2 linked regions of the Rattus norvegicus genome follow. The protein of the gene in region 2 interacts with the protein of the main gene of each other region in a pairwise test. Links are inferred from orthologs where the notes say so. Each region holds a gene or a part of one and is shown on either strand. Other genes may lie near its edges.

Evidence for each region.
Region 1: the proteins of Bles03 (region 2) and Eif4h interact in binary tests that used the Homo sapiens proteins (3 or more experiments, as listed by UniProt). The two-hybrid records come from large-scale screens. The link is inferred for Rattus norvegicus from reciprocal best matches to the Homo sapiens genes C11orf68 and EIF4H.

Annotation. Positions count from the first base shown.
Region 1 is NC_086030.1:27,713,428-27,725,954, reverse strand, and holds the start of Eif4h (eukaryotic translation initiation factor 4H), read right to left. Parts: upstream 6,264-12,527; 5' UTR 6,226-6,263; coding exon 6,167-6,225; intron 1-6,166. UniProt on the Homo sapiens protein: Stimulates the RNA helicase activity of EIF4A in the translation initiation complex. Binds weakly mRNA.
Region 2 is NC_086019.1:212,159,842-212,172,260, reverse strand, and holds Bles03 (UPF0696 protein C11orf68 homolog), read right to left. Parts: upstream 8,370-12,419; 5' UTR 8,261-8,369; coding exon 8,139-8,260; intron 7,497-8,138; coding exon of another isoform or gene 7,483-7,496; coding exon 6,726-7,482; 3' UTR 6,115-6,725; downstream 1-6,114. Other genes in the region: Drap1 (dr1-associated corepressor), read left to right, coding at 8,704-8,745, 8,977-9,049, 9,135-9,228, 9,508-9,627, 9,726-9,840, 9,981-10,069, 10,448-10,553.

The sequences.
Region 1 (12,527 bases), on a different chromosome or scaffold from region 2:
ACAAAAGGACTGGGTACATTAGCACCCACCTCCTATCCCAGTCAGGGCTACACATCACAAAAAGCCAACAAATACAACTCTCACCTTTCTTCCTGCCTTCCCTCCCTTCTGACTAGCCCTGCATAGGTTCTGATGATCCCCAACACTCCACACTTAGCTAAACCTTACAGCCTACACTCATCCTGAAGCTGGGGTTGCACACATACACAGAACCCAATGTAGATGATGCCCACCCTACCATGCAGCTGGGGGTTCGGGGGTGGGGGTGGGGTGGAGAGGAAGTTCGGATTATGCCACTCCTGCAACTGGAGTGCTTGAGGTTGGAGCAGGGTGATCAGAAGTTCAAGGTCATGCTCATGCCTAGGTTACATACCGATCTCAGGCGAATCATTTTAAGAGGGGGTTGGGGGGGCTGGGGATTTAGCTCAGTGGTAGAGCGCTTACCTAGGAAGCACAAGGCCCTGGGTTCAGTCCCCAGCTCCGAAAAAAAGAACCCCCCCCCCCAAAAAAAAAAAAAAAAAAAAAGAGGGGGTTGGGGAGGAGAAAGACTTGTCTATCAACAAGAGTAGGACCACCTCCCATTACTGATGGGCTGGAAACCTTGATACTAGACTGACTTCAGACATCATTGCATTTAGGGGACATTGTGTAAAGAGGCGTGTCAGCATCTGCAATTACAGACTGTTACTAAATTTCAAAATCCCAAACGCATCTGGGATGGTGAGTCAAACCTTTAATCCAAGCACCAGGGAGGCAGAGGCAGGATCTGTCCGAGTTTGAGGTCTGTATCTACATAGTGAGTTTCAGAGCAGCCAAGGCCACACAGAGAAACTCTCAAAACAAAAAACAAAACCAAACAACACATTAACAACAAAAATCAACCAAATATATGTTCCATAGGAATACCCTGGGAAGAATCCATTCAGCTTACAGGAGTGTTCTGAATGCTAGCACTGAGAGGCCTGAGAACAGCCTCCTGGATGTCCTTCCTCAGGTGTCAACCACAGCAGCACACTCAAGATGACAGCCTGGTGCCTCTTTACTGTTTCTGAGACAAGTCCACACATCTTAGGCTGGCTTCTAGCTATTAGCTACATGGCAGAGGCCCTTGAGTTTCTGACACTTCTGCCCCTCCATCCCAAGTGCTGGGATTAGACACACACACCAGGTGATTTACCTGGTGCTGGGGATGGAACCTGGGCTTCATACATGCCAGGTGCACTCCTAAATGAGCTGCACCCCCAGCTCCCACACAAAAATTCCTTATCAGTTATTTGTAACTACTCATTTATGTCACTGATAATTACACTAATTATAAAGAAAATTCAAGGCCGGTGATGGAGCAGCTGGCTAAGAGCATTTGTTGCTCTTGCAGAGAACCAGGGCTCCATTTCAGCATCCACAGCTATCATAATGGGGTTCCAGGGAATTGAACACTTTCTTCTGATCTGACACCAGCACATGCACACACAGACAAGTCATTCCTAACACATAATCAATCTAGTGAGGCCCTGGGAAGGCAGAGCCATGCAGTATCTGTGAACTGTGTCTGTCTGTCTCAAGATGGCCATGGCCACAGAATGAGATCCTGTCAAGAAAGTAAAGCCTCCTGGAGACCAGGCTGGCTTCAAACTTAAGAGAGCTCCACCTGCCTATGCCTCCCAAGCGCTGGGTTTAAAGGCATTTGCCACTTCCACCATGCCCAGCCAAGAAATTACATTTTTCCCTCTAGTCCTTATTGTCTGTTTTGGAGCCAGAGTCTAACCATGTTGTCCAAAGTCATCCTTTTAGTTCAGAATACAGAGCAGGGGTTGGGGATTTAGCTCAGTGGTAGAGTGCTTGCCTAGGAAGCACAAGGCCCTGGGTTCGGTCCCCAGCTCCGGGAAAAAAAAAAAAAAAAAAAAGAATACAGAGCAGCTAGGATAGACAACTCATGTCACCACATCAAGCCCAGGAATAAATACTTCAATTCGTACTTTCAACAATTTCTAGCAGACACATTTTCAACAATCTCAGTCCTTGAGACTGACATTCGTTCCATCTAATTCTCCTGCTTGATGGCTTCCAATTAGGCGCCCAGAAGCCTTTGTTGCAAATGTAAAATGTTACGAAAATGTTTCAAATGTAAAACCATTTCTTGCATTTTATATGGTTAATGACCAACAAAACCAGAAACTCTGGGCTGGAGAGCTGAGAGGGTTATGAGCACCTCTTCCAGAGGACCTGGGTTTGATTCCAAGCAGTCACATTTGTCTGTGGTTTCAGCTGTAAGGGATCTGGTATCTTCTTTCTGGCCACTGTATGTACAAACATGATGCAGAGACATACACTTTCACAAGAATACTCAACATACATGAAATTAAAAACCCAGACCCAGGGGTTGGGGATTTAGCTCAGTGGTAGAGTGCTTGCCTAGCAAGCGCAAGGCCCTGGTTTGGTCCCCAGCTCCAAAAAAAACAAAAAACAAAAAAAACAAAACAAAACAAAAAAAAAAAAAAAACCCAGACCCAAACAACAAAATTGGGAGTTCCCAAAAGACAATTTAGGAGCCAGCCTGATGGTGCGCACCCACCATTCCTGGAAGCATGGCAGCACTGAAGAGCAAGAGGTAAGCCAGGGATCCACAGAACAAGACCAACCTGGATGTATTGTTGCCCACCTCTAATGTTAGCGCTGCTCCAGGAACAGGACTAAAAATACTGTCTCAAAAAACAAAACAAACAACCCCATAAAACAAAGTCCATTTAAGAGTCAGTACAATCAACTCCCGAGGATTTGGAACTGTGTTTTGATTTGCTTGAGAACAATGCAGTTCCTGGCCCTTGGTCCAGGCTGAGGATGGATCCGCACATGGGTAGGCTTGAGGAGAAAGCCAAGTTCTTAGTCCTCACTTCCTGACAACTGCAGGACCACAACACATCTACAAAACAGGTTTGTGTCCTTCCAGAGAGGCATGTGACTAGAATCCCAGAAATTGGGAGGACAGAGACTGAGGCAAGAGCTCTGGAACATTGTAAAAAGTTTGAAGCCAACTAGGCCACACAATGAGATGATCTTGAGGCTTTAATAAAAGCTTTTGGAGAGGGGTTGGGGATTTAGCTCAGTGGTAGAGTGCTTGCCTAGGAAGCGCAAGGCCCTGGGTTCGGTCCCCAGCTCCGGGGGGTGGGGGGGGAGCTTTTGGAGAATATATAACTCCGAAAGCCAGGCTTAGGCCATAGCTATCGCCTCATGCTCTGGACCAGAGGAGAGGACCTCACACAAATGATTAAGAAGGGCCTCCCAGGGCTGGAGAGATGGCTCAGCCGTTAAAGGCTCACAACCAAAAATATAAGAAGGGCCTCCCAATATGTGCTGAGGCACCTATAAGGTTTAAGTGCTGCACAGCACAAATATAACTGCTGATAGAACATTACTAACACAGCAATTTAAAGATCAAAGATATCTAGTCACCTCTTCTACCATCCTGTACATCTCAGAGTGGAGAACAGGCCCTGGTTCAATATTCAGTTGAGCAGGTGAGGGGAACAAAGGGCTACAAAACAAAAAATCCATGCAAAACAAGCCAGCAGAAGCGGATCTGCTCTTCTGTAAGACATAAAATACTCAGTAATAATCTTGTTTTCACTTGGAATCCTCCTGCCTCAGGCTCCAGAGAGACCATCTCAAAAAACAAACATCAGACATCCCCTCACACACAAGACAAAGAGAAAGGGAGCACCTGTGTGCTGAGCCTGTAACCAAGCACCGAAAGGCAGACAGAGTTAGTTCAAAGTCATCCTACCTAGTGAGTGTACCACAAGCTAGGCTACAAGAGACCCTACCTAAAACAGAACAGAAGAGGGGGCTGTGCACAGGGGGCACCGAGGAGGCAGGGGCAGGAGTATCTGAGTTCCCAGCCTGGTCTACACAGCAAGTTCCAAGACAGGCAGGATTATAAAGAAACTGAGATGGCGCAGCTCTTACCAAGAGCATCAGCTGTTCTACCAAAGTACCTAAGGGTGGTTCACAACTCATCCCAGACATGCCTCTTTAGACACCAGGAAAGGAGACACATGTGGGCAAAAGCCTCCTATCAATAAATGAGTGAGCAGTACAAAGTCACTGAGAAACGTACTTCCAAGTGACAAGAAGCCAGCCAAAGGGCCTGGTACAGTGGTGCAGGCCTTTAAATCCAGTGCTTGAAGGTAGAGGCAGGCAAATCTGTTTTTCAAGGTCAGCCAGGGCTACCTACATAGTGAGATCCTATCCCCAAAAGAGAAACAGAACAAAGCCAGCTTGAAAATTTCAGTTCAAAGAGGTGTTAATAAGTAAAGGGACTTTCAAAACAGCTTTAAGGGATGCTTTAAGAGTGTTAAGACTCTCAAATTAGCTTTGAGAGAACATCTGAGAGGATGGCTAACATTTTCATCTGCCTGTAAGTATTTCAAATGAGTTGCATTTTGAGAGATTTGAATTTGTTTACTTCTGATGTTTTAAAATTATTCAAACGTCTCAACTGTGGCACGTGCTAAGTCAAAGGCAGTTTTCTTCCCCTTTGAGATTTAAAACTTGAGTTTCTCATGCCCCAACCTCTATAGCACTAGGATCTGGGGAGGAAAAAAGAACCCTTGAGTACATTTACTTTTTTCAAACTAGTAGAGAAAAACCAAACCAAACCCAACCCAACCCAAACTGAACAAGATGGCTCAGGCCTCTAATCCCACCACTGGGAAGGCAGAGGTGGGTTCAGCTCCAGGCCAGCCTGATCTACATGGTGTGTTCTAAGTTGGCCAGAATTACATACCCACTAAAGACCCTATCTTAAAAAAAAAAAAAAATTCCAACAGCAAGTTAGTACAAACCTATACCTAGAAAGCTATCCCCAAGGGCATTCATGGTAACACTTCACCTAACACCTATTTGTATTTTTATTAGCAAATAAAATGTGTGGCTCCACCTTACCCTGAACTTCTTCCTTAAGGAAGCATGAATAGTACCCAGTACACTACTGCAACCAAACAAGACGGTGACTCATTTTCAACCCCGGGTATTTAATGATGATCATTCTTCACCTAACAAAAGACACTTTGGGGGCAGCCACTTTGGAAACCTAACACCTCAGTAAAACTACAGGGATATTCTCTGGGCAAGTCACCTTTTCTGTAAAAAGGATAAAGGCCAAGTGTGTCCTTGAGAAATAAGACGCTTAAACTGACTGTCCCATAAAACTCCTATAAGCGTCTTTCTTTTCTTGAAGCAAGTGGCTGCCGCTTGTTTATTTCTATTGTTTGGCAGGAGACCGAACCCAAGACTTAGGACATGCTAGACAATCGCTCTATCACTGAGCCACAACCCCAGCTGGTAACGTGTTATTTAAAAGTGAACAAAATACCCGACGCTGGTTTTTTGGAATTATGCACCAAGAGCTTTCTATTCATCAGTAAAGGATTGGGGGAGGTTGGAGGATTGGTTTTAAAGTATGTTGTCTGTATCTGACCAGAATCAGAACGAAGCGAAAGCGATTCTCCAGGTCAGGGAAGAAACTAGGAAGAAATCAACAATTTCCGCCAGCAGACACGTAGTATCTGTCAATAAGGCATTCTAAACGCCAAGGAGGCTGAGAGAAAGAGACACGCACACTCCCCACTACGGTGTATTTGTTTTGGTTGAGGTCCGCGCTCCCTGTCTCTCTCGGTGGATCCGACGGTCCCAGGATCCAGACGCCAATTGGAAGGGAAATCACCCCTCTCGCGGCCCGCGGGCTTCACGTAGAAGCAACCCAGGGGCCCGGCCGAGCAGCAGGGACCCTGGAGAGGGACAGGCCGCCGCCGCCCGCTTCCGTGCTGCAGCCCAGCCCGGAGCGCGCTGAGGATAAAGCTGGACGCGGGCGCTGGTTTCCCCGGGAAACCCTCCGGCGTCGCTGCGGTCTAACTTTCGGAGCGAGGCCTCGCAATGTGCGGCGCGGAGCCGAGGGAGGGATGTGCGCCGCGAGCAAGCTAGAGCCCGGCAGCCTAACCGTCGCCAGCCGCTCCCGGAGCGCGCCATTTCCAGGCCTCTCCTCGGGCCTGGTCAGGCCGCTTCCCGCCGCCCGTCTCGAGTGAGCGCGGCAAGGCCGTCCCCTTCGAACCTCCCGGCACTCCGCCCGGCGGAGCCGCCAGCCTGCCAAACCGCGCCCCGCCCGCCTCACCCTCTACCGCCGCCGAAGCTGCTGTAGGCCCGATCGTCGTAGGTATCGAAGTCCGCCATTTGCCGTCTCCGCTCCTTGAGGAACCAGCGGGCCAGCGAGGAAGGACCCCGCAATATAACTCCTCCTCCCCCCTCCCGCCCCGCTACCGGGGCTGTCCGCCGCGCTGCCTGATCGCAAATCGCACGCACGCATGCGCGCGCCGCCGCGCCCGGCCTTGGGCCGACGGGGCCCGCTGCTGGCCCCGGCGCGCTCTGCGGCCCACGTGGTGGGGCGGCCAGCCCCCGGAGCGCCGCGCGCACGCTCTGCCCTCCGAGGCCCATTGTGTGCTAGCTTGAAGGTTTCACGCGTGGTTGCCTCTTACTGTCCTTGCCCCGCCCTGTCCTGTGGTCACCTACCTCTCTGGCATTGTCTGTCACCCTGCACGCTGCTTTCTAATGATCACTAGATTCAGTTTGGGTTTTGTGGAGCCCATGCTGGGCCGGAGCTGGAGCGCTGGAGCTGAGGATGACCTTGAACCCCTGGTTTTTTGCTCTCTCCACTTCCCAAGGGCTAGGATGATAGTGTGCCATTATGTTGGGCTCTCTGGTATCACCTTAGATTTATTAAGGTGCTCTAGGTCTGCCCCACTTGGTCCCACTTGGACACAGTTCTTCAGGACAAATGTCGCTGGGTAAAGCTTAAACGAAGACAACGTGTTCTAGGTAGAGATCCCTAGATGACCAAGGGCAGAAGAAGGCTTGTAAGTGAAAATGTGTGTTTGTGTGTGTGTGTGTGTGTGTACAAGATGAGATGAAGGGAAATATCTTTGTTTTTTAGAACTGCTACAAACTGGACATGGTGGTAATCCCTATTCTAGGGAGACCCAGACTAGTAGATCAAGACTGTAATTAGAGGTCAATCTGGCCAAAATAATGATGGTGCACACCTTTAGTTCCTGTATTGAGGAGGCAGAGACAAGTGGATCTCTGAGTTCAAGGCCACCTTGATCACATACGGAATTTCAAGCCAGCCAGGGCTATGTGGAAAGATCCTGTCTCACAAAACCAAAATAAAATAAATTTTAAAGACAAAACAAATTGTATTCTTTGTCTGGGTATTGGGGAGGGGTGGTGAAGATGAGGATATAGACTGTTTGCAGTTGAATGAATAAGAGATTAGATACGTTTTATTTTTGCAGAAGTCTCTGTTCTGAAACTTTGAAGGTGTTCAGGGCAGCTCAGGGAGTGAGGATGTGTGATCCCCCGATTCACATGGTGGCAGGAGAGAACTGACTCCAAGTTGTCTTCCGACCTCAACACAAGAACTGGGGTGTGATCTCTCTCTTCATGTTTTGCTTGCACTGTCTTTTACATTTATAGCACACACACACACACACACACACAGAGACACACACACACACACACACACACACACACACACACACGCTAGTAAGGACTAGGTATTTAGACCCTATCTCAAAAAAAAAAAAAAAATCAACCAAGGTGGACAGCTCCAGAGAAATGACTCCTAACCCACGCAGTGTTAGCAACGGCCTTTAATCCCAGCATTCTAGAGGCAGAGGTAGGTGGATCTATGAGTCTGAGGCCAGCCTCCTCTACAGAGTGAGTTCCAGGACAGCCAGGGATACAAAGAAACATTGTCTTGAAAAACCAAGGAGAAGGAGAACCTCTGAATGTTAACAAAACAAAACCCAGAGGCTGGAGAGGTTAAGAACATTGTCTACTGGGTTTGAGGATTTAGCTCAGTGATAGAGCGCTTGCCTAGCAAGCGCAAGGCCCTGGGTTCGGTCCTCGGCTCCAGAAAAAAAAAAAAAAAACCTTAAAAAAAAGAACATTGTCTACTGTTCCAGAGGACTTCATTCCAATTCCTAGCACCCACCCAATCCCATTGCAGCCCCAAATGGTAACTCAGCTTCAGGGGGATCTGACAACCTCTTCTAGCCTCAGAGTATCAGGCACACATGAGGTACACAGACATACATGCAAGGAAGACATCCACACATACAAAATAAAATAACCACAAGAAGCCCAGCCACGGGCTGGAGGAATGGCTCAGCGGTTACGAGCACTGACTGCTCTTCCGGAGGTCCTGAGTTCAATTCCCAGCATCCACATGGTGACTCACAACCATCTGTAAAGAGATCTGATGCCCTCTTCTGGTGTGTCTGAAGACAGCTACAGTGTACTTAAAATAAATAAATAAATAATAATCAAAAAGCCCATCGAGAATCCTGATTTGCATTGCATCTTCTCAAAGTAGCAAGGATGGCCACCACGTGAGAATAAGTGATTCTAGGGCTTTCTGGGGTTTCTGATGGAGATTAAAATATTTTGGAGTGTTCCAAGGTATAGTAGTTGCAATTTAAAAGAACCCTGTAGGGTTAGGGATTTAGCTCAGTGGTAGAGTGCTTGCCTAGCAAGTGCAAGGCCCTGGGTTCGGTACCCAGCTCCGAAAAAAAAAAAAAAGAAAAAGAAAAAAGAAAAAAGAACCCTGTAGAAATCAAGGGTGGCATTAGGTTATCAATCAGGAGACTCGAAGGGCAATTGGTTTAGGTTTGAGGCCAGCCCGGACTACAGATTGAATTCCAGTCAGCCTGGGCTACAAAGGGAGCCCTGTCTTACCAAACTGAGGTAGATAAAGTAACAATTATAAATACCACGTGGATTTAATTTTCTGCATATAATTGCTTAGCGTACGGGGTAGGGCACTGGAGGGTAGCGCAGGTGTTCTGCTGGGGAGTAAACGCCTTGCAAGGCGCAGGAGCGGATTTTCTCTTTTTCCCATTTGGGACCCTGGGATCTGACTCAAGTCCCTTTGTACACTGAGCCATTCTGCTTGCCCTCAGAGAATTTTCTTTTCAAAGCCGTCAGTATTGAGTGTTGAACCAAGAACCTTAGACTTTGGGAACATTCTAGCCCGGAGGCACATCTTCAGGCTTTTATTGTCTTCTGCTGTTTTTATTGTTTGCTTGTTTGGACCTAGGGATGTAGACCTGGATTTTTTTGGGGGAAGAATTAGTTTTCAGAACAGGGTTTCTCTGTGTAGTCCTGGCTGTCCTGGAATTCACTCTAGACCAGGCTGGACTCAAATTCAGAGATCCATTTGCCTCTGCCTCCAGAGTGCTGGGATTAAAGGCATGCAGCCCCATTTCTGACTATTTATCTAATAAATTAATCCATTTATTGTGTGTGAGGGGAAGTAGTGCACATGTCAAAGTGTATGTATGGTTAGAGAACAATTTTCAGAACTCGGTTTTTTCTTCTTGTGGTATGGACCCTGGGGACTGAACTCAGGTCAGGCTTGGTGACAAGTGCTTTTCCCTGCTGAGACATCTTATTGGTCTTTGCTTCTAGTGTTGCTTGGTTTGTTTGTTTTGATACAGGGTTCTGTGTAGCCCTTGCTGACCTGAAACTCACTCTGTAGACCAGACTGGCCTCGAAGTTGAGATCTGCCTGCCGGCCTCCACCTCTGGAGTGCTGGGATTAACAGATTAACAGCATACAGCCTACACCACCACTGCCTGGCTTATTGTCTTAATGTTTTTTAAAAAATTACAATTTTTATTAGTTTTTAAAATTTACTGGTACATGTGTGTGTGTGTGGAGAGAGGGAGAGAGAGAGAGGGAGGGAACACAGAACAAGTCTGTCCTTTCACACTACAGAGTCAGGATCGATCTCTCTCTCTCTCTCTCTCTCTCTCTCTCTCTCTCTCTCGCTGTTGCAAAGGCCTTCTCTACCTCTCGTCTTACCACAACGATGCTGGGATTACAGATTCGTGACACCTGCCATGTTACACGGATTCCAGGGATGGAACCCGGGTCATCCATCAGGTTTGGTGGAAAGCACCATTACCCAGTGAGTCATGTCTCGGGCCCTCAGGTATAGTTTGCTTGTCAGTTGTTGTCTGGTGAAGCTAGCTACTCTAATCATTCACTGCACAGTGATGGGCCTGCCCACACTGAACCATGTAGCTGATTCCCAATGGTCCTATAGGCTTAGAACAAAGCCTGAAAAACTCCTATCACCTGAGGATGCTGTCCCTATGGTAACCGAACTCATGCCTCCTGTTTGTGGAGAGGCTGTAAGTGAACCAACCACGGTTCAAAAACCAAAGTGCTGTGTGTGGGGCTAGGATGTGGCTTGTTAGAGTGCTGATCTAGCATGCTAGGAGCCTTAGTGAGGTAGGACCATCTGAACTTGGAGATGTGGGCTATGTGTCAAAGAAAACAGTGTAACAAACTACTCTCGGATACATAGTAGCTCACAGATGAAGCCAAACTCCTGTCATTGGTCATTGTGTAGCTATTGCCTCTGAACTGAGGGAGGAAGAGAGGGGAGGAAGCCTTCGAAGATTCCCGGAAGCTCCTGAAACTTAGAACTTTTGCAAGCCCGCCCCACTGGCCAGATTATGTTCAGTTGCAACAGCAGTCGCAATTGCTAGGGAGAGAAGATTCTGGACAAGGTGAGCTGCCTGCGGGTTTTTCAGGAAGCTTCCATGATGTAGCTTTTGTGAGTCATCCATGCAGAGGAGGGAGTGACTTTTTGGTGATAGGCTGCCTTTGAGTCCCCTATGATCCATTAAGTAACCCTTCACTATAGCCAGTATTCTTGTTAACTTTATTTATTTATTTATTTATTTATTTATTTATTTATTTATTTTGGAGCTGAGGACCGAACCCAGGGCCTTGTGCTCGCTAGGCAAGTGCTCTACCACTGAGCTAAATCCCCAGCCCCCTTTATTTTCTTTTTTTATGTGTATGGGTATTTTGCCTGCATGGTACGTCTGTGTGTCATGTGGGTACAGTGACCTCAGAGGCCAGAAGAGGGTGTTGGATGCGTTGGGACTGGAGTTACAGATGGTGGTGAGCTGCCATGGGCTCCTCTGGAAGAGCAGTCAGTGATTTTAACTGCCGAGCTATCTCTCCAGCTCCCTTCTTCAGCATTTTAAAACTTTCAGTAAAATTTGTTTGTGTATGGGAGAGGGGCAGATGCAAAGGTCAGACAAGGTCCCTCTGTCCTGCTCTGTCACTTTCTGGCTCATTCTCTCTCCTTTTTTTTCTTTTTTTTTTCGGAGCTGGGGACCGAACCCAGGGCCTTGTGCTTGCTAGGCAAGCGCTCTACCACTGAGCTAAATCCCCAACCCCCTGGCTCATTTTCTTGAGACAGGCTCTTTCAGTTAACCTGGAGCTAGTCTGTCACTAGAGACCCTTCTGCCTCTGCTGCCCCTCGGCCCCCAATGGTAGAGCTACAGCATGCTCTGACATGCCTGGCCTTTTAGCCGGATGCAGACAATTTGAACATCAGTCAGATCCTCCTGACTGGGCAGCAAGAGTTCTTATCCACTGGGACCTTTCTCCAGCCCATTTTGTCCTAATTTTAGAGTGTGTATATAAACAGTTGTTTCCTGTGAAACGTGTCTTGGTGTTCGGCCAACAGCATTCTCATACATCTTGTTTACCAGGTCTCTCAATTGCATCTAGAGAAAGAGCAATGCACACACCACTCAGCGTGTGTAAGAGCTCTCTGTGGAAGATGAGGACATTCACCAGGGTTTCTCAGACTGCACTGTGTGACTCTACCAGCTGGGTGACCCCACATTACTTTTTACATTACTTTTTAGTATTTCTGCTGGGTTTTTATTTGAAGTTACATTTTGTGTGTGTGTGTGTGTGTGTGTGTGTGTGTGTGTGTGTGTGTGTGAGAGAGAGAGAGAGAGAGAGAGAGAGAGAGAGACACCAGGGACAGGGACATGGACAGGGACAAGAAGAGGGACAGGGACAAGGGGAACTACAACATTCATATGGAGGTCAAAGGACAACTTGTGAGAGTTGGTTCTTTCTTTCCACCATGTGGGAACAAACTCAGGTCTTCAAGCTTGGTATCAACCATCTTTACCTGCTGAGCCTCTCACTGGCCCTTTGTGAATTTTTTTTTCTTTTCTTTTGTTTGGAGCTGGGGACCGAACCCAGGGCCTTGCACTTGTTAGGCAAGCGCTCTACCACTGAGCTAAATCATCAACCCCCCCTTAGTGTATTTCAAAATTCTGAAATGTTTGTATTTTGTTGCTATAGATGCTATTGTAACCTAAAACAATCTGAAATAGGATTTGCTTCATCTTCAAGACAGCCCCTTCTAAGACTCTAGTGATTCTAGCTGGGCAGTGGTGGCACACACCTTTAATCCCACTTGGGAGGCCAAGACAGTCGAATCTCTGAGTTTGAGGCCAGCCTGGTTTACAGATCATGTTTCAGGATGACCAGGGATACACAGAGGAACCCTGTAGCATCCTCAACACTCCTGAGGTAGAAAGTAGAATTAGGAAGATCAGAAGATTCAAGATTATCCTTGGGGATGGAGAGAT
Region 2 (12,419 bases):
CACAGAAACCAATCAGACTTCATTTTTTTTTTGGGGGGGTTCTTTTTTTTCCCCCGGAGCTGGGGACCGAACCCAGGGCCTTGCGCTTCCTAGGCAAGCGCTCTACCACTGAGCTAAATCCCCAACCCCTCAGACTTCATCTTAAAGAGGCCTCTAACTCTGGGAGCTAGAATTGCTCCAGGACCAGAGACAGAGTGCCCTGATGCCCTAGTGTAGGAGACATACTTAGTCGTGTGGGCTATAAGAGCATTGGTAGCCTGGCTTTGGACAATTTTCACTTTCTCGTTTGTTTTGAGACAGGATCTCATGTAGTCTAGGCTGGCCTCACACTCACTGTGTAACTAAAGGTGGATTTGAACTCCTAACCTTTCTGCCTCTGCCTCTCAGTTGCCTGGATTATCTTTGATCATCTTAGCATCTTTTTTTAAAGATTTATTTATTTATCTTATGTATATGAGTACATTGTAGCTGTCTTCAGACACACCAGGAGAGGGAATCATATTCCATTACAGATGGTTGTGAGCCACCATGTGGTTGCTGGGAATTGAACTCAAGATCTCTGGAAGAGCAGTCAGTGCTCTTAACCGCTGAGCCATCTCTCCAGCCCCAGCATCTTTTTTTTTTTAAAGATTTATTTATTTATCTTATGTATATAAGTACACTGTAGCTGTCTTCAGACACATCAGAAGAGGGCATCAGATCTCATTACAGATGGCTGTGAGCCACAATGTGGTTGCTGTGATTAAGCTCAGGACCTCTGGAAGAGCAGTCAGTGCTCTTAACCACTGAGCCATCTCTCCAGCCCATCTTAGCATCTTTTGATCTCAGTTTTCACATTAATAAAGGAGTGTTGAGGGGGTGAGGTGAGCTGAGGAATGTAAGGTGGCCAGTGTGTGCTATGCAGAGCAGGCCTGTGTACATGTTTGCTCTTACGATGAGCCTTGGTTGTTTCATTCATAAAATAGACAAGAAAGGACACCTGGCTTCATTCCAGTCACAATCTCTGGTTTCCTTTCCTGGAAAGCTGTCTTCACAAACCTGCCCCCTGCCTTCTCATCCTGCCCAACCTCAGGTTTCCTATACCCTCCTAGGAGGCCAGTGGCCAAAGAAACACCAGGTAAAGTGTTTGTCAGACTAGTGCCCTTAGCTTTACCCTTCAGTGCCTAGGGCATGTACGTCACAGAAGTGGGGAGTTTCCCTCCTCAGTGAATCAGCCGTGTGACCCAATCTTCATCCCTGCCAAGGCCCCTCCCAGTCAGCAGGAGCGGGGTGCAGCTGGCCTACTAGGAAAATCCCCCAAATCCTGCCAAAGCTTTGGTTGAAGCATCTCCCAATTCAGCTGTTTCCTGTATTCCCGAATTCTGCCCCAGGTCCTAGCTGGAGTTGGGGGTCAAATAGAATCTCCCCCTCCTAGAATATCCCTTTGTCCCAGGGGTTTGAGGAATGCATAGCAGGGTATGTCTTTCTGTCTCTCAAGCCTCAGTCATAGCTCTCTGTTTTATTAATGGAGCAGACAGAGGGGCTTGCCCAAGTTTGGCCAGCCCCTACACAACCCAGTGTTTCCATAATTCCATGTAGGCAGGAACTAGCTATGCAAGAGAAGCCCTGCTAGCCAGGGTTTTGGGAAACCCTTAGCTTGTCGAAGGAATCTGTGTTTGGGCCCAGCCTATCTTCCAAGTAATTCTGAGAACCTACCTTGTGTACTTCCCAAGTGAATCTTATATCCTTGCAGGGCAATATTTCTTCTTGTAGCACCCCTACCCTCAGAGCACATTCAGTAGCAAGACTTAACCATGTAGTAGGTACTCTAGAGTTGAATGATCTGAGTTCAAATCTTGGCTCTGCCATATGCTTGCTGTGCAACCTTGAGACAATTAACTGGAATTCTCTGGAACTCTGTTTCCCTTTCTGCAAAAATGGTAAGAATACCAGAGCTAGAGGCTGGAGAGAAGGCACACAGGAGTTAAGCACTGGCTGTTCCAGAGGAGGCGAGTTTGGTTCCAAGCATCCACATGCAGATCAAAACCATGTGTAACTCTAGTGTAGGGAATCCAACATCCTCTTCTGACTTCCCTGGATAAGAACGCATGTGGCACACAGGCATAGTCAAAGGAACAACATCCATACATATAAAATAATTTAAAAATAAAAGAACTAAATGGAGCTTAGATAATGTATGGCTTCCATACAATCACCTTGGATTCAAGAATGTTATTTGGTGATTGCACCAAGCTTGACTCTGACCTGGATGCTGAAGGTGCCCTGAGGATAAACCAGTTATTGTCCCTAAGAGTCTCCAGACATATAGTTGAAGGGCACCCATGGGAGAGCCACATGGTTAGAGAACTAGTGGGTCTGAGATGTACCATTAGTTAGCGGTGATGGTGTCGGGCATGCCAACAGAGGCTACCCATCAACAAGGGCATTGAAGTGGGAAAAGACAGAACATGGGCAGGAGAGCTGTGTTCTAGAGCAAAGATGAACAAAGAAAGATACAGTGGAGAGATCCAACAGGTGGGATTCACAGTATCTGGATCTGAGGCAATTCTTTCGTTTAATAATCTCTGAAGCCGTTATTCTACACTGGGAGATGAAATGTAGACAGTGCTCCTGCCTTAGTAGAGTACAATCTGGGTCTGTGGCTCAGTAGTTTGGGGACCAGTGGCAATTGCTAAGTAACAGCAGATTCTGTGATTGGTACCACACAGCAGGTGTTCAAGGACAAAGAAAGCCTGAGGCCCGAGGCTCCATGCCAAGGTGGAAAAAGATGTTCCAGTTGGCTTCAGTTGGGTGCAGAGACAGGAAGATGTGCCTAAGGACAGCAGAGAAAGCTATTGGGGGCATGGTCAATGCCAGCCCAGGACAGTAGACCTTGTTTTTAGTTGCTGTAGAATCCCAATAGGACAGGAATGTGGGCATCTCTATGGTAGAATCTGTGAACCTGGCTTATGGGATAGGACAGAGATGTGGGGTGGAAGAACCAAGTTAGTGGCTGTTGTTGTGGTTTGAGAGAAAATGAGAAAGGGCAAGGGGCCAGGCAAGGCCAAAGAAATACAGAAGAGGGATGTGTCACTTTGTAAAGAAAGAAAACCTGGGCTTTCCATACCACATAGACATCTTTGTGAGAACACAAGGCTTTGCCAGGATGCCACTCCTCTGCCTAGGGAGAGTTGACCCACTTTTGTCAAGTACAAAGCACTGACAATCAGGCAGGCAGGGCACTTGGCTCCAACTCTGAGCTCTGGGGATTTCCCAAGTTTGGGCTGAGGTGGACTCAATCCTGGGGAGGCTCAGGATAGGGAGGCAGCTGGGGAGGGGGTTAAGCTAGCACTCATGACTCAGCCACTTCCACCCAGTCACCCCAGTGGCATCTCCGCTCCTCTGCTCCAAATTCCAACTCAGTGAGGCTGCTGGAGGCTGATTCAGCGCTGGCACAGCACGAGAGCAACATCTCAAGTTCTCTGCCAACACCTCTGGCCCTTGACCAAGGCCTGGGAAGGCACTGGTCTGAGGAGACAGGACAGTGCACAAGCCGGGCCCTTGAAACTCTAGCAGTCATGGAGAAGAGGATGGCTAAGAGAAAAGATCACATGAGTATCCTGCTCTGTGGGTTGTGTTTGTCAAGACAAGAACAAGGGTCAAGGACCACACTGCCTGAGAAGGGAAGGATCAGAGCCAAGTCCCAGCTCTACTCTCCAACTCCATCACCCAGATCATCCCTTCTCCTCTTGGCCTCAATTTCCCTCCCCCACCTCCCTTATTGAGATGGACTTGTAGCTAGGACTATCATTGAACTTGCTGTGTAGACCAGGCTGTCCTCTAACTCCCAGAGGTTCGTTTGCTTCTGTCTGCTGGTTCTGGAATTAAAGGCTTATACCACCACACGGTAGCAGTTCCTTGACAGCAGGATGTGGCCAGCATCTCCTTAAAGAGGTCCTGAGAACTGAGGACGGCATGTGTAAAGTTCTTTATAAACTGTTGAGTGGCTTCTGGAAAAACTGTCCATGCATATTCAAGCTGGTCACTGGCTAGGTTGCTCCAGCCCTGGATGCTGAAATCCAGCCCATATCTTTTTAGAAATCTATGTGTACCACCTGGAACTGCAAGGAGAGTGCCTTTATCTAAATCCTGCAAAACACACTTGGTGGATCAGACCTGTTAATCCCAGCACTCAAGAAGCCGTGGCAGGAAGATCAGAACTCAAGTTGTGCTACACAACAAAACCCTGTTTCAAAAGGCCAAAGTTGTAGGAGAGGGCCTGCGGATGCAGCTACATTGGCAGAATGCCTAGCAGGCACTGGGCTTAATCTTGGTCCCTGTATAAACCACGACAGCACTATATAAACTTGGGTGTGATGGTGCACACATGCAGCCCTAATACTCAGAGAGTGTAAGCAGAGGATATTAAGTCAAGATGAACACATGGGAGGCAGAGTCAGGCCTTGAGTCCAAGGCCAACTTGGTTTACATAACAAGTTCCAGGTCAGCCAGAGCCATATAAAGAAAACATGAAAAGACAAACTGATCGGTGGTGGTGCCCACCTTTAATCCCAGCACTCAGGAGGTAGAGGCAGGCGAAAGTCTTGAGTTCCAAGCCAGTCAGAACTACAGAGAGAAACCCTGTCTCAAAAGACAAAAACAAGGGGTTGGGATTTAGCTCAGTGGTAGAGCGCTTGCCTAGGAAGCGCAAGGCCCTGGGTTCGGTCCCCAGCTCCGAAAAAAAGAACCAAAAAAAAAAAAAAAAAAAAAAAGGACAAAAACAAAAGGAAAAGTCTGAACAACTGAGGTGGTTCAGATGATAAAGGTGCTTGCTTGCTGGATGTTCGGTTCCCATACAATGGAGGAAACTGACTTTTTTTTTTTTTTTCCCCCCCGGAGCTGGGGACCAAACCCAGGGCCTTGCGCTTGCTAGGCAAGCGCTCTACCACTGAGCTAAATCCCCAACCCCGGAAACTGACTTCTTTTTTTTTTTTTTTTTTTGTTGTTTTTTGTTTTTTTGTTTTTTTTTTTCTGGAGCTGGGGACCGAACCCAGGGCCTTGCGCTTCCTAGGCAAGCGCTCTACCACTGAGCCAAATCCCCAACCCCCGGAAACTGACTTCTAATGGTCCTCTGACCCCCAAATATGTGAGACGAAACAACCTCCATACACCCCCAAGTATGCTTTATTGTTTTCAATTGTAAAGATTCATTTTTCCATGAATGGGAGTTTTGCCTGTATGCATGTCAGAGCAGCATGTGTGCAGTGCCTGCACAGGCCAGAAGAGGTCATTTTATCCCCTGGAACTAGAGTCAGAGGTTGTTACTAATCACCATGTGAATTGTGGGAATCAAAATAAAGGTCTCTCTGGAAGAATAATTCTTGCTCTTAATTGCTCAATCAGTCGACAGCCCCACCCCCATACCTCTTTTGAGATAGAGTCTCATTGTATAGTCCAGTCTAGCCTGGAACTCAGAGAGAACCACCTGCCTCCACCTCCCAAGTGCTGGGATTAAAGGCTATGAATTTTTTTTTAATGAGGGTCTTTTTACGTAGGTAGCCCTGGTTGTCCTGTCCTGGAACTCACCTTGTTAAACAGGCTGGCCTTGAACTCATAAAGATCCACCTGCCTCTGCCTCCCAAGTGTTGGGGTTAAAGGCACTATGAATAGAATTTTTTAAAACCTAAAAGCTGGAGATGGTGGTGCAGGATTTTAAACCCAGAACTTTTGGTAGGCAGAGACAAATGAATTTCTGAGTTACTGGCCAGCCTAGGGTACATAGTAAGTTCCAGGCCAGCCGAGGCTACACAGTGAGACCTTTTCTTTTTTCTTTTTTTTTTCTTTTCTTTTTTCTTTTTTTCGGAGCTGGGGACCGAACCCAAGAGACCTTTTCTTAATAAAATAAAATGACAAATAAATATACCTTGGGACCAAAAGAATATCCCCCTTGGCCTCCCTGGAAAGACCTAAGAAACTGATTTTGATCCATGGGTTACAGAGGGAGAACAGCTTTAAAGAGGTTCTCAGCTGTGGAGCCTGGCCTCTGCAAAGCAGCATACCATCTTCACTGCTGAGGGAGGAAAAGGCTAGCTTGGTCTTTCTCGAGAGACAATGCAGGTAACCATCAGGACAGTATTTTTAAAAAACACTCAAGACACAGACCCAAGCTGGGTTTTATTGAAATGCCAGGAGCAGGCACATGTCAAGGGAGCCAGGGAAGGAATATTGGTGATGCAGGCTATGAGTGTGCAGGGAGGAGCAGACCTCATGTCCGACCCTGCATCTCCTCTTGGCCAGAACACGTTAGGGTCCCAATAGCATGCTGAGTCCTGTAAGGGTCCTGCCACCTGGGCCATGATGGCTCCAAGGGCAGGGACTGGAAGCACTAAGTTTTCTCCCTTCTGAGGGAGGAAAGAAAAGGAAGAATGCAGGCTAAGTATAGTAGGGACAGAGGTGGCCAGGGCAGACTTTCTTGAGTATCTGCACCCAAGCTGTGGTCCTGGGCAGTGGTGGGGAGCAGCATCAAAGAGGCAGCCAAGGGCCTGGCCCTCAGAGAGCCAGAGCCCCAAACCTGTGGAGGTTGGAGTTGGCCCTGCACAGAGGTTCAAAGGGACTGAGTGCAGGCAGTTCCCAAGTCAATGAGTCCTCAGAGCTAGGGAGCTCAGCCTTCTTGGGACAAGGAAGAGAAGAAAGAAGGATCCATCCCCAGCTGGGAAGCAAAAGGTGGTCTCTCCTACTTGGCCCCATTAGGTCAGTTCTACATTGTTGGCACGATCCAGCACTCGAGAGCCACGGGCATTGCCTCCAAGCTGGAAACGGCTCTCATAGAGAGTGGGACAAAGGTGCCAGCGATTGGCTCGGTAGATGCCCAGGTAGGTGTAGACATCAGGTTTGTAAGTGAGCAAGCACTTAATGCCTGCAGCACGGATGGCAGAATCTGCCTCCAGTACTCCCAAGCGGTCCGTGAAGTCATCCGTGTAAACACAGATGACCTGGCGCCCACCCTCCTTGGCCCGTGGGCTCACCTTGGCCACCTGAAGACGGCCCTCAACTACAGCCCGGGCAATGCCAGCCCAGGCATGGTCCAGCTTGAAGCCAGGTGCCAGGTGAATCAGCCACTTGCCGGAGAGCACATGGTGGGTGATGGCCAGCTGGCGCAGGGTACCTGGTGTGATGGGTCGCCCACTGGTCTGCAGAGCCTCCCAGGCTGCCTGCAGCCCTTGTACATCCCCTGAATTGGGGGTGTAACCCTGCCCATAGGCTGCAATCCAGCCCACAGGTTCAGAGTTGGGTGAACCTGGGTCCCCATAGCGAGTAACTTGAGATGGTGGGTACTTGGCCAACCAGGCATCCAGCTCTGTGGCAGGTGTAGTACGGGCATCAAATACCAGCCAGGGGTCCATGTCAGCTGCCATGGCCTCTGCAGCCAGGTGCTCAGCAGTGAAGCCATCCTCACGACCACCTGGAGAGTCCTCCTCTTCCAGCTCTTCATTTGGTTCCATCCTGTTGTGAGGGAACTGAGTCAGAAGTTTGAGACAGTAAATAAAAAGTACTGGGTCCTAGAGGGTGCCAGGCACTGCTTTTAACTGTGGCCTTGGGCAAGTCTTAATGTCTGTGCCTCAGTTGCTTCATCTTCACAATGGGATAACAACTGATCCTGTCTAGATTTGTCTCTAGAATAAAATGCCTGAGGTGGAGTCGCTATTGTCAGTACTACTTTCACTGCTTAAAAACAAGGAAATTGAAACTCTGAGAAAAGGGGCTTGCCCAAGGTCATGTCTGTAAAGACCGTTAAAGCTTAAGTGTTAACTGGCACAGGACTCTGCTACACCACAGGACTAGAGTCTCGCAGGTAGCGCGGCGCTGCAATTTAATGGACGTAGGCAAAACGCAGGTTCGCCAATCTCAGAGGCTGGCTGGAGAGGGGCCAGGCCTCCCATGGTGAACTATTTGGGGCACACTTATCAACACCAAGACTCTGAGACCCAGAGAGGACAGCGGCCCATCTGGGGGTCAATGGGCAACATCCGGACTCGAACCTGATAGGACAGAGTCTGCGCGAGGACCAGGCTCCAGCCTTACCACACCCGCCGCCATTAGTGTTCACAGGTAAGGGTTGCCTCCACCCCCGGGCTGCCCTCTCGTCGCCCCACAGTCACCTCCGGCCTTCACTCCGCTCCGCGCCAACCCAACTTCGGGCCCGGCTCCGTTCCTGCCCGGGGTCTGCGCCGCCACCCCCGCCGCGCCCCGCCCCTGCCACGGCCGCCGCCGCCGCCGCCATCTTAGGGTCCCGCCACCTCAACAACAACTTTATAGACAAACACAGTCACGGGGCGGGGCCAGAGGCGGAACCAGAAGGCTAGGGGCGGGGGCTCCAGGGGAAGGGGCGGGCTGAGTTCAGGGGCGGAGCCAGCGCGAGAATCCCGGGAGGTGCAGGTCTTCAGGAGGCGGAGCTAACGTTCGTACTTTAGCTTGGAGGGCGGGTGGGCGTGGCGGGCGATCCCTGAGAAGGACGCGCACCGCCCTAGAGGATCCAAAGCCCAGCGCTTGGGTTTTGGGAGCTGCTTTTCTACGAACGGCACTAGGACCCTGCGAGAAGTGGTGTGGGCGGAGTAGGCGGCACCAGGACCGGGGGGAACCGCGGCCGGCTGGCGGCGAACAGGCCCGGGGCCTGGAGGCTGCGGGCGGCGGCGCTGGGCCCGGCGCAGCGTGAGAGGCCCCGAGATGCCAAGCAAGAAGAAGAAGTATAACGCGCGGTTTCCGCCGGTGAGCACGTGGCCGGGATGGGCCTCTGCAGGCTAGGTTCCTGGGAGGCTTGGGCCCAGGTCCTGCTGGTGGGGGGACGGGTGCTTTTAGGTGTTCATGGCCTGACGCCCCGCCCCTTCCATGCCCTCCTGGCTTAGTGCCCCCCGCCCTCTTCTCCTGGGATACCCCCCGGTTCACTCAGCTCCCCTGTAGAGACGCAGGAGACGAGCTCTGTCCCCTTCCCCTCGGCAGGCGCGGATCAAGAAGATCATGCAGACAGACGAAGAGATTGGGAAGGTGGCGGCAGCTGTGCCTGTCATCATCTGTATCCTACTAGGGGCTGGCTGGGCTGAGGGGCGTGGGGCGGGACTGCGGCACTCCCCTTTTTGGATTCTCCTTGACGTCCTCAGCCCGGGCACTTGAGCTCTTCCTGGAGTCTCTGTTGAAGAAGGCTTGCCAGGTGACCCAGTCTCGAAATGCCAAAACCATGACCACGTCCCACCTGTGAGTGGCCGCTAAGCTGGGCTTTTGAGGAGGCAGTGTTCTGACAGGGGGAGTGGTGCGCTGCTGAGGGAGGCCAGCTTTGTGGGTTTGGACTGATGTAGGAGAGATAAGGTGTTTCAGGTGGAGGGAACAACCAGAGCCAAGCCGCCCGCCCGGGAGGCCTGGTGGAAGTGGGGAGGGGTGTTCCACTGTACTGACACGAAAAGGTTGTTTCTATGATTCCGGAACATCAGTGTTTTGGGGGCCCTTTTTGAACACCTTCCTCTCCCACTTCTACAGGAAGCAGTGCATTGAGCTTGAACAGCAATTTGACTTCTTGAAAGACTTGGTGGCATCTGTGCCTGACATGCAGGGTGATGGGGAAGACAACCACACGGATGGGGACAAGGGTCCTCGAAGGTGGGTAACCAAAACCAGGTATATAAGTGGGAAAGGCCAAGGCCACAAGGGTTGGGGGTGGCTGGGGGGTGAAGAAGGGGAGAGAGTCCTCTGTGCAGATGGCCTGTACCTTCCCGAAGGGGCCGGAAACCAGGCAGCAGTGGCAGGAAGAATGGAGGCACAGGAAGCAAAAGCAAAGACAAAAAGCTGTCCGGGACAGACTCAGAACAGGAGGTGAGTGAGGCCGGTGGGGAAGGCCTGGTCTCATCCTTGTTACAGCCTTTGTATCTAACTCCATTGCCTTACCAGGGTTCTGGGCTCCCCAGAGAAGGGCCCAGACCTTCTCATTAACCTGACCCTTGCTGTGCTCACAGGATGAGTCTGAGGACACAGATACAGATGGGGAAGAAGAGACACCACAGGCCCCACCCCAAGCCAGTCACCCCCCTGCCCACTTTCAGAGGTGAGCACCCCAGGGATACCAGAAAGAGGCACAACAAACTCCCCAGAGCCAGTTAGTTTTACTTCCCTAGCCATTGGTGGTGGTGGTGGTGGTGGTGGTGGCGGCGGTGGCGGCGGCTGACTTTAGGGAATGGAGGGGAGAGAACACTATTAAACACAAGAGATTGTTCTGAGAAGGCCTTGCCTCCATGGTAGTGGGTCGGGGAGAGAGTCTGGAGAATGGTCTTTGCTGGGACCTTCCCTCCTAGGGGGGTTGTCTCCATGATGTAATGGGTGGCTTTGACTACACCTGCTTCTGTCTCTGGAGAATGGGGGTGGGCCTGTGGGTTGGGCACAGCACAGTTCCAAGCTCTGATTTTCTCCATTTTCTGTCCTGCAGCCCTCCAACTCCCTTCATGCCCTTCACCTCTCCTCTGCCTTTACCCCCAGCACCTCCCGGCCCCTCAGCACCTGAGGCAGAGGACGAAGAGGATTATGACTCCTAGCGCCCTTTAACCCTGGCCATATGCTCTTTTAGTTAGTATTAGTTGCTTTGGGGAGAAGAGAAAGATGGAACTGTTCTTAAATTTATTAAAAAAAAAAAAGGATTTTGGTTTCTTTTCATCCTGTGTCCAGGGCTTCGTGGCTGTATTGCCCATCCCCCCACCTCCCCACATGGGGGCAGCAGGAAGGAACATTGTTGGGGCAGCCAGTGATTGAGTTAAAACAGGGAGTCTGACAGGAGTCTGGGGCACTGAAGAAAGGAATGTGGTCTAGGGACTGAGTTGCCACATGCTAAGGGGTGACCTCTCATTGTGTGGGACCTTGGGCACCTTCTTCCCCTCTCTGGACTGCTGAGAAGGGACAGATGGAATCAGTACTGAGACGGGGCCTTGAAAAGTATAGTGTTGGGCTGGAGAGATGGCTCAGCGGTTAAGAGCACTGACTGCTCTTCCAGAGGTCCTGAGTTCAAATCCCAGCAACCACATGGTGGCTCGCAGCCATCTGTAATGGGATCCGATGCCCTCTTCTGGTGTGTCTGAAGACAGCTACAGTGTACTTATATATAATACATGAATAAATCTTTTTAAAAAAAAAAAAAGAAAAGTATAGTGTTCTGCAGCCAGTGCAGTGACGGGCTCGGCACAGTGAAGAGACGGGTACCTGAGATAGCAGAGGGTCTGCGAAGCATCTTTGGAGCCAAGCAGTCTGCCAACTGTATCTGAACAGCCTGGGCAACCTGTGTGCCAAAGGCAAGAGGTACACCTTCAGGGAGCAGCAGCCATGTGGGGTTCCCAAGTGTAAAAGCCCTAGAGGGGATGGTAAGTCATCTGTCAACAAGCTTACCAGCTTCTTCCTGATGGAGGCATTCAGAGACCCTTAGGGAATGTGCTAGGTGTGTGGGTGCGGACAATGGTGGCTGTAGTCTGGGGAGACTCAGGGTAGGCCTTAGGCTTGAAGATAAGCTGCAAAGGACCAAGGGAGGATATCACCTTTGCACCTTTTCTCATTTTCTTCTGCTCTTTGGGACTCCTTTCCAGCTGAGGGACACAGGAGGAAAAGACAAGATTTAGCTTGATGATCTCAAGTTTGGCTGTGATGAATTTGGGGTGCTCTTGACACTGGATTGGTCTTGTGAGAGTTGAGGCCTAGAGACAGGTGTGTGGATGGAGGGGAAGGCACCAGACAGGAGCTGCGGGGTCCTGTGCAACCCATATGGTCTGGTAGAAGGGAGAGGACAGCTGCCCAAGTATCCCCGAAGGAAGAGCCTCTGAACCCCTGCTTCAGCACTTAGTGAGGGAGTGGGAAGCTGAGAACATGCTGGGGCTAAGAAGGGTCTAAAACGCACACGGTATGTTTGCCTTTACTTTTAGAAGATTGTCTTACATGTGTGGGTGTTTTTCCTGCATTGTGCACTGCATGTGTGCCTGGCATGAACAGAGGCCAGAAAAGGGCATTGAATCCCCTGGAACCAGAGTTATATAGAGATGGTTGCCAGCCACCTAGTGAGTCCTAAGAGTCTGAACCCTGATCTTTTGGAAGAGCAGCAAGTACTCTTAACTGCTGAGCATGTCTCTAGCCCCCTGTTTAAAGGTTGGTGCCCCGGCACTGGAACAAAAAGGATTTAAAAATGGCAGAAACTTAGGTTTCCAGAGAAGAGGGGGTAAAGGGGCAGGAAGGAGATGGCAGAGCGGGTAGATGAAGGTTGGACCTGTGGCCAACGCCAGCATAAGAAGGGAGAGGGTGGACAAAGGGGTTTTGTGGGGAGCATTGAAGAGCCAGTAGTTTAACGGAGACTGAATTGTGAAGCAGGAGGTAAAGTGCCTGTGCTATGTAAGGGAAGAAGGTAGGCTAGGGCAGTGGTTAGAACA